Linked DNA regions of Arabidopsis thaliana. The protein of the gene in region 2 interacts with the protein of the main gene of each other region in a pairwise test. Each region holds a gene or a part of one and is shown on either strand. Other genes may lie near its edges.

Region 1 (3,756 bases), on a different chromosome or scaffold from region 2:
TCGGCTTGTGGCATACTTCCAGAGGCATATTGATGACCCATTGCAAGAATCGGCGCCATCAATCAGGTCTATTGCTGCCAAGGTACCGATGAGAAGCCCAGCAGACCATGGATCATCTGGAGGAAGTGGTTGGGGTAGTTCTCAGAGTGAAGGAGGCTGGAAAGGTAACTCGGATCGTTCAGGCTCAGGTAATGCATTTTAAATTTGTTTTTTTAACTTGCATAGAAAAGCTTGTGTGGTCATTGTTCTACTTCTCGGGGTTATGTTTTAATTTAACTTCTGGTAATCTGGATTTTAGATGCCGAGAAGTATTTATATATTAACATTATTTATGTTGTCTCCTTGACTATACTTCTGGACGTCCGCTCTTAAGTAACTGTGCAACTGTATTGTAGGGAGAGGCGGTGAGTACAGAAATGGTGGTGGACGTGATGGACATCCAAGTGGAGCGCCTAGGCCATATGGTGGCCGTGGACGTGGTCGAGGCAGAGGACGGAGGGATGATATGAATAGTGATAGACAAGATGGTAACGGAGATTGGGGTAATAATGATACTGGAACTGCAGATGGAGGTTGGGGAAATAGTGGTGGCGGTGGTTGGGGAAGCGAGTCTGCTGGTAAAAAGACTGGTGGTGGCAGTACTGGTGGTTGGGGAAGCGAGTCTGGTGGCAATAAGAGTGACGGTGCGGGCAGCTGGGGGAGTGGGTCTGGCGGTGGTGGTAGTGGAGGTTGGGGAAACGATTCTGGCGGTAAAAAGAGCAGTGAGGATGGCGGTTTTGGAAGTGGTTCTGGCGGTGGCGGAAGCGATTGGGGAAACGAGTCTGGTGGTAAAAAGAGCAGTGCAGATGGCGGTTGGGGAAGCGAGTCTGGTGGTAAAAAGAGCGATGGAGAGGGCGGTTGGGGGAATGAACCCAGCAGCCGGAAGAGCGATGGCGGTGGTGGTGGATGGTGAAGAAACACAACCTCGGCTACAAATGTTGGTTGGGTAATTAAATTACGAAGGCAAAAGGCAAGACATAATAGTATAAACACATTAGTAGTAAATTAGCTTTCTCCCTAAATGCCTTTTACTTTTACTTTGATTCTCTGCATTTTTGTCTTAACCTGTCGGTATTAGTATCGGTTTATGTCTTGTCCCGACTCTTAACGTTCCAGGAAAGTCTTTTTAAGTCGATGCTTACAAAATTTTAGAATCTCGTTATCTTGAATACTTTTTGTTTGTTTGGCTTCTGTTTCACCTAAATTACATAATCAAGCTCGTAAATTAATGAACTATTTACTTATTGCTGTACCGGCATGTTCATTTTGGATTACTTATGATTTTCCATCCTTTTTGTTTTTGTGAACATGAAATTACAATTAGCCGTTATCGATCTAAACAATTCATTTCGAAAAAAAAAAAACATTTTCAAGAGAAGAAGTCGAGAGATAGCAAAACAAATTTTATTAGTTGTTGCCATATATACAACTTTATCCTAAATATTCATTGGATAAAACATTATTGCCTTCATCACCAAAAAATTTGAAACAAACGTTTTAAATATTTCTTCTAATCGTGCCTTGGGATAAAATTGGAAGGGGATTTAGTGGCTAAGCTTAATTTACCATTTTGCCATTATTCCTTTTTCGATTAAAACGTTTTCCCTTCCAAACGTCTTCTTACGAGAGAGAGAGAAAGTATCTAAAATTAAGCTTTGTGTTTGAAATCGAAATCGAATCGAGAAGAAGAGAATCTCAATGGAAGCTGATGACGATTTCTACAGCGGCACCGAAAACTACTCCGATTACGCCGACTCCGACGAAGATGACGCCGACGGCGAGTACGAGTTCGTTGACGACGCTGCTGATGATTCCGATGACCTTATCTTCCGTCGCCGCCAGGTTTCTCTTCTCCATTATTCTGGATCTACATCTTAACCAAAATTGAAATTAATGTTGTTTCCAATACAGAGATTGAAGTTTTGGTTTCTGAAATAATCGCAGGACCTTTTTGTAATGTTAATGATGATTTGAGAAAATTTTATAGATCACAATGGCTAATGAAGAATTTGTTTTTGGTTTGTAGCAAAATTATAGTGTGTTAAGCGAAGCAGATATTTGTAAGCTTCAAGAAGATGATATTTCAAGGATTTCTACTGTTTTGTCCATTTCGAGGAATTCATCTGCGATCCTGCTTCGTCACTACAATTGGTGTGATTCCAGATTCTGTTATTCAGATATTACAGCTATTGTGTGTGTGTGTGTGTGTGTGTGTGTGTGCTTAGAGGAACTTTTCATTTGTGTAAATGTTTTTAGGTGTGTGAGCAGAGTTCATGATGAATGGTTTGCTGATGAGGAAAAGGTTCGAGATGCTGTTGGTTTATTAGAGAAACCTGTTGTTGATTTCCCAACTGATGGAGAAGTATGTCTCCCATTGTTTATATTTTCATTTCGATTAACATTGTAAATTCATCTAATAGAATTCAGCTGTGTCATTTTGGCAGCTTGATTGTGGAATTTGTTTTGAGACTTTCCTTTCTGACAAATTGCATGCTGCTGCTTGTGGTCATCCATTCTGCGACTCATGTTGGGAAGGTTTGTTTTATATATTGAGACCCATTTCCAAACGTGATGTTTAGATTTAACTTGCAATGTACTGTTTTTTTTTTTTTGCTTGATTTCAGTAACTTGTACCTTATGTTTCATTTCAGTCTTCATTTGCAAGTATTGCAACATATAAGCATTACAATTAATAATGGTTCATTATTGTTGGGTTAACTATCTGACCTTTCCCCTCATCTTTAGGTTATATCACCACAGCGATTAATGATGGTCCAGGGTGTCTTACATTACGATGTCCAGATCCTTCTTGCAGAGCTGCTGTTGGTCAGGATATGATCAATTTGCTAGCTCCTGATAAAGATAAGCAAAAGTACACTAGTTATTTTGTCAGATCATACGTTGAAGACAATAGAAAGGTAAGCTAGCAAACTCAGTATGATCGTACGTTAGTGTGCATGATATTTATTTGTGTTATATTAACCTTCAAATGAAATCAGTGCATAATTTTAGTGTTCTCTATCCGTCCATATATGTGCTCACCCAGATAGTAATGCATCTTTTATGTTGTAGACCAAGTGGTGTCCCGCTCCTGGCTGTGACTATGCTGTAAATTTTGTTGTTGGAAGTGGTAATTATGATGTGAATTGTCGCTGCTGTTACAGTTTCTGCTGGAATGTAAGTTACGCTATCAGTTAGAGTTAGAATAGTTTCATCTTTCCATTGTTTAGAATTTAATTGACACAACTATACCATGTCACTTTTATCGTCATGGGTCTGCAGTGTGCTGAAGAAGCTCACCGTCCTGTAGATTGTGACACTGTTTCTAAGTGGGTATTGAAGAATAGTGCTGAGTCGGAGAATATGAATTGGTACGTTGATTTATGAGATATCGTTGAGATATGTTGTTGTTGTGCTCGACCTTAAAGGGTGCTTAGATTTTTTAAAATATTTGGGTTCTTTATAAATAGATTGTTTTCTTGTATTATATATTCGTAGTTATGGCTACCATTTTGTATAGCCAAAGGAAGCCAAAATGTTGGATATGTTTGCATTTTTAACTATAAGAAGAAAACCATTTTCGGTTTCTTCTCTTCCATCTCCTAGCATTAGGGTGCATCATGCTTCACATTTTGTTTTGTTGCTGCTAAGTTCCATATTGAATTTCAGGATTTTGGCAAATTCCAAGCCCTGTCCAAAATGCAAACGGCCAATAGA
Region 2 (3,756 bases):
GGTTTGGCAAAATAGTTCAAGAAACTTTTAGACGTTACTGACTTCTCCAGACATCATGTCGACCGATACAATATGGGAAACAGTTTCTTGAGCAAATATAACTGGCGCGTATTCGTCTTGAATCGGTGCGGGATCAAAGTTTTCAGGAACACAATCTTGTACAACTGTCTGGTCCTCAGTTTCCATTTTCTTTATTGCCCATCCATGCTCCTTTTCAAATTTCTCTCTTTCTGAGTGTGGGACTTTCAAAGCATACGCTACACCACTAGTAAGTGGCCTCTCAAAGTTTGTTCTCTCAGTATATTCTTCAAATGTTCTCTGTAAATGTAACAGAAGTTGATGATTTAAACATAAACTTGAGACACAAAATGTATTTAGCAGTAAGAAAAAAACATCACCTGATCAATGGCAGATGGGATTTTACCATGATGAAATGTAGATACAAGAATAGACAAGGCATGAACATGGTTCAAGCTAACATTGAACTGATCTTGTAAAACACGTGCTCGTTCGTCACACATGTTTGCCAAAGTCTCCCTCCTTTTCATTATGATCTCCTCATTAGTGTCCCAAAACCACCAAACAGAGAAGGAAACTCCTCCTAAAATACCAAGGAGAAGGATATTCTTCCTCCATCTTCCAGCCCCTCTAGAAGAAGTCTGAGCACGTTGTTGCTGCTTCTTTGGAGCTAAAGCCTCTTGCAGATGTACTTTCTCTTTCCTCTCACCTCGTGCTTTAGAATGAGATACATAAATCTTATGGCACACTAACACACCAAGGATTAGACACCACCATGCATTTCTTAAATACGATGACAAACCCTGCTCCAGCCCTTCTTCATGGTTTTCTTCCTCAAGGTTTTCAGGTTGCTGTAAAATCTACTCATAACCAAACACATTCACAATAAACTTTTGTGAGAACTAGCTAAACACCAAATCTTAAAGCATTTCCTTCACATGTTGTCGAATCGAATATTATCTTACCGGTTCAAGATTACCACACATACAAGATGTTGATGAGATAGAATGTCCTAAGCCAAGATTCCAGGGAAGCCCTCTAGTCTCTTGTTTATCAGAACGCACACTCAGGGAACATGTAATACCATAGTTTGTCCACATTCCAGGGCTTGATTCCTTATGACATTCAAAGGATGTTACCTACAACAAATACAGAGAAACTGTTACACTTTAAGGCAAATCTGGTGCGTATTCAAAAGCTCAATTTCAACAAATACAAGTCAATTCATGCAATTACCTGATCTGAATCAGAGAACAAAGAGACCAAATCATGAATCTCACTTCTTGTGACATTTTGATGTCTATACAACACTTTCTCTTCTCCATTACAAGAATCTGTCTCCTCCTTCTGACTTCTACCTAACCGTAAGAACATAACCAAAACAATTACCAAAGAGCCACACAAAATCAGGAAGAAGAGAGGCTTCTTTAGCCATTTCTTGTCACTGCTCGACGACTTCTTAGCTTTCTTTGAAGTAAGATTCAAGAGCTCACAAGTTATAGACATTTCGACTCCTAATCTCAGATTCAGCTGAAGAAATTCAGATCTCTTCAAACCCAAAACTAAAACTCTATCAACAACAATCTCATAGTTGAGTTCTTGAAACCATCCACAAGAAGAACAAGAAGCTGTGACATAGTCCCAAACGCAAAGCTTTTTTCTTTTTTCTTACTTAAGACGCAAGAGGACAAGATGAACCAAACCCAGTGGTTGTTGCAATGGGAGAAAGAAGACATTGTTGAGAGTAAAGAAACGGAAAAGAGAAAAAGGACAAAGCTTTATCTTCTTTCATGGTTTCAGGGTAAAGAAAAATGACAAAGCTTTCTCTGTTTTAGATGTTTGTGAGCTTAAACAAAAGAAACCCAGCTGGTGTCTCTCATTACCCAACTGGACTCAATGATCAGAGTTTGGATAAAAGAAGCATTTGTTAGAGAAATTATGAGCTAAAGAAAAAGAATGTCACTTCTCTCTTCTTTTACTCTACTTTTGATTATTATTATTGTTTTTGTCTTTTGGTGAATAAACATTTTTAAAAACTGAGGTTTTTGGGTCCATGATTATCTCATCATCTAGGTGGGGAAGGTATTATAACATTTTTAGTTAAATTAGAAAAAGTGATTGGCTAATGAAAATATAAATAAACTCAACTATACCAAGAATCAATACATGCTTCTCCTAAAACCTACTCATTGTTATTTGTTTTTTGTTTGGTCTTTTTGGTGTTTTTAAATTGCTTCATTAGCATAGTTTAACATCTACTCTTAAGTCTTATCTTATCTTGTATAAAATATAACGATGAGTGGGTTTTACGAGAAGTGGGTATTGATTTGATTCTATATGTACATCTTATTTCTTTTTATCAGTTTATGTATCTTTGTCTCCCAGTTACATTTATGATTCTGATTATTTTTATGTAAGAAGTTCTGTTTAAAATTGTATTTGACTTTGAAAATATATTAGGACTAGATCATAACCCGTGCTGTATAGCACGGGCATTAATATTTTGTATAAATTACATTGTATACTTTGTTATGTTTGTTATGTTTATCAAAATTATTTGTTATATTTGTCAAAATTTAGTAAAATATATTCAAATATAATTAAATTTATTAAAACTTAATAAATTTAAAAGTTTTTTTTGTTTAGAGACGCACTATCTACATACAAAATACTCGTTTCTATTTTTTTGAGTATTTTTAGGGCCTGAAACTTTTTATCCAAACTGACCCAAACCCAACTGGACCCGACCCGAACCGAATATTTAGAATTATTCTATTAGGTAGTAAATCATATACCCATTAATCCCAAACCCGAACGGGTTCTACCCGAACTCGAATGGGTTACTCATATGCCCAGCCCTATTCTCTGATTTAATTATCTAAAAAATCCCAATAAAACATATGTTTTGTTGAATACCTTTTATTCAAAAAAATTTACATCCTCTTCTGCCAAAATCATTTCATAAGACATCCCAAAACCCTTGGAATAATGATTCTATGAATGAAGAATCCTAATTTGAATATACCAAGAGGTTTTGAAAGGTTTTAAGTTTTTGATAGGTGTGTATGTGAGAAGGTACATCCATCGTGATGGTAATCTGCTTATTTATAATTTTAACTTGCATTATACAGCAGGTAGGCTTATATTTTAGTTAAACTAAAAACTTTTATTGTAAAGTTGATTACAAATATATGATATTATTTTATTTGATTTTAAATGTATAGTAAACTGCTAGTTGTATATGTTTTGTTGATATTATTTATATTGTTTAATGTTTAAAATTATATACTTGTATTTTGATTGTTAATTTTAGAGTTTCACCTGTACTATACCATCTTGTATTAATATTGATTTAAACCCGTCAATTCTAGGATTTTCCAACTTGTATTAAAAATTGAATCACATCATACACATTAAAAAATCTAATATGTTATTAATTATTTTAGTATATAAAATTATAAATTTTAAAATAATATGTATGAAATTGAATATAAATATTCAAATTATAACACAGTACTCAGTAAAATTTTTTTTTAAATCTACTTTTGACCCGTTATAGTATTTTTTCATGTATTGAACAGTTTATATTTGTTTTTTTTAAATTTAAATTGTGGCATATGCGAAAAAAACTCTAATTATTTTTTTATAACGATGATATTATTTTTTTGCAAAAATAAAATCATATAAAGATGAGAGGTGAACTATAATAATTAATAAAAAATTAATATGATAATTTAG

The links. Proteins that work in one complex are often made in the same cells at the same time.
Region 1: the proteins of HK2 (region 2) and ARI8 interact in a two-hybrid assay, tested with the Arabidopsis thaliana proteins (one large-scale study listed by BioGRID).

Annotation. Positions count from the first base shown.
Region 1 is NC_003070.9:24,304,141-24,307,896, reverse strand, and holds the start of ARI8 (IBR domain-containing protein), read left to right. Parts: upstream 1-1,558; 5' UTR 1,559-1,737; coding exon 1,738-1,881; intron 1,882-2,065; coding exon 2,066-2,190; intron 2,191-2,295; coding exon 2,296-2,401; intron 2,402-2,483; coding exon 2,484-2,574; intron 2,575-2,784; coding exon 2,785-2,957; intron 2,958-3,111; coding exon 3,112-3,216; intron 3,217-3,321; coding exon 3,322-3,410; intron 3,411-3,708; coding exon 3,709-3,756. Other genes in the region: GTB1 (global transcription factor group B1), read left to right, coding at 1-188, 396-952. UniProt on the Arabidopsis thaliana protein: Might act as an E3 ubiquitin-protein ligase, or as part of E3 complex, which accepts ubiquitin from specific E2 ubiquitin-conjugating enzymes and then transfers it to substrates.
Region 2 is NC_003076.8:13,914,814-13,918,569, forward strand, and holds the start of HK2 (histidine kinase 2), read right to left. Parts: upstream 1,993-3,756; 5' UTR 1,525-1,992; coding exon 1,255-1,524; intron 1,158-1,254; coding exon 984-1,157; intron 879-983; coding exon 399-878; intron 319-398; coding exon 43-318; intron 1-42. UniProt on the Arabidopsis thaliana protein: Cytokinins (CK) receptor related to bacterial two-component regulators. Functions as a histidine kinase and transmits the stress signal to a downstream MAPK cascade.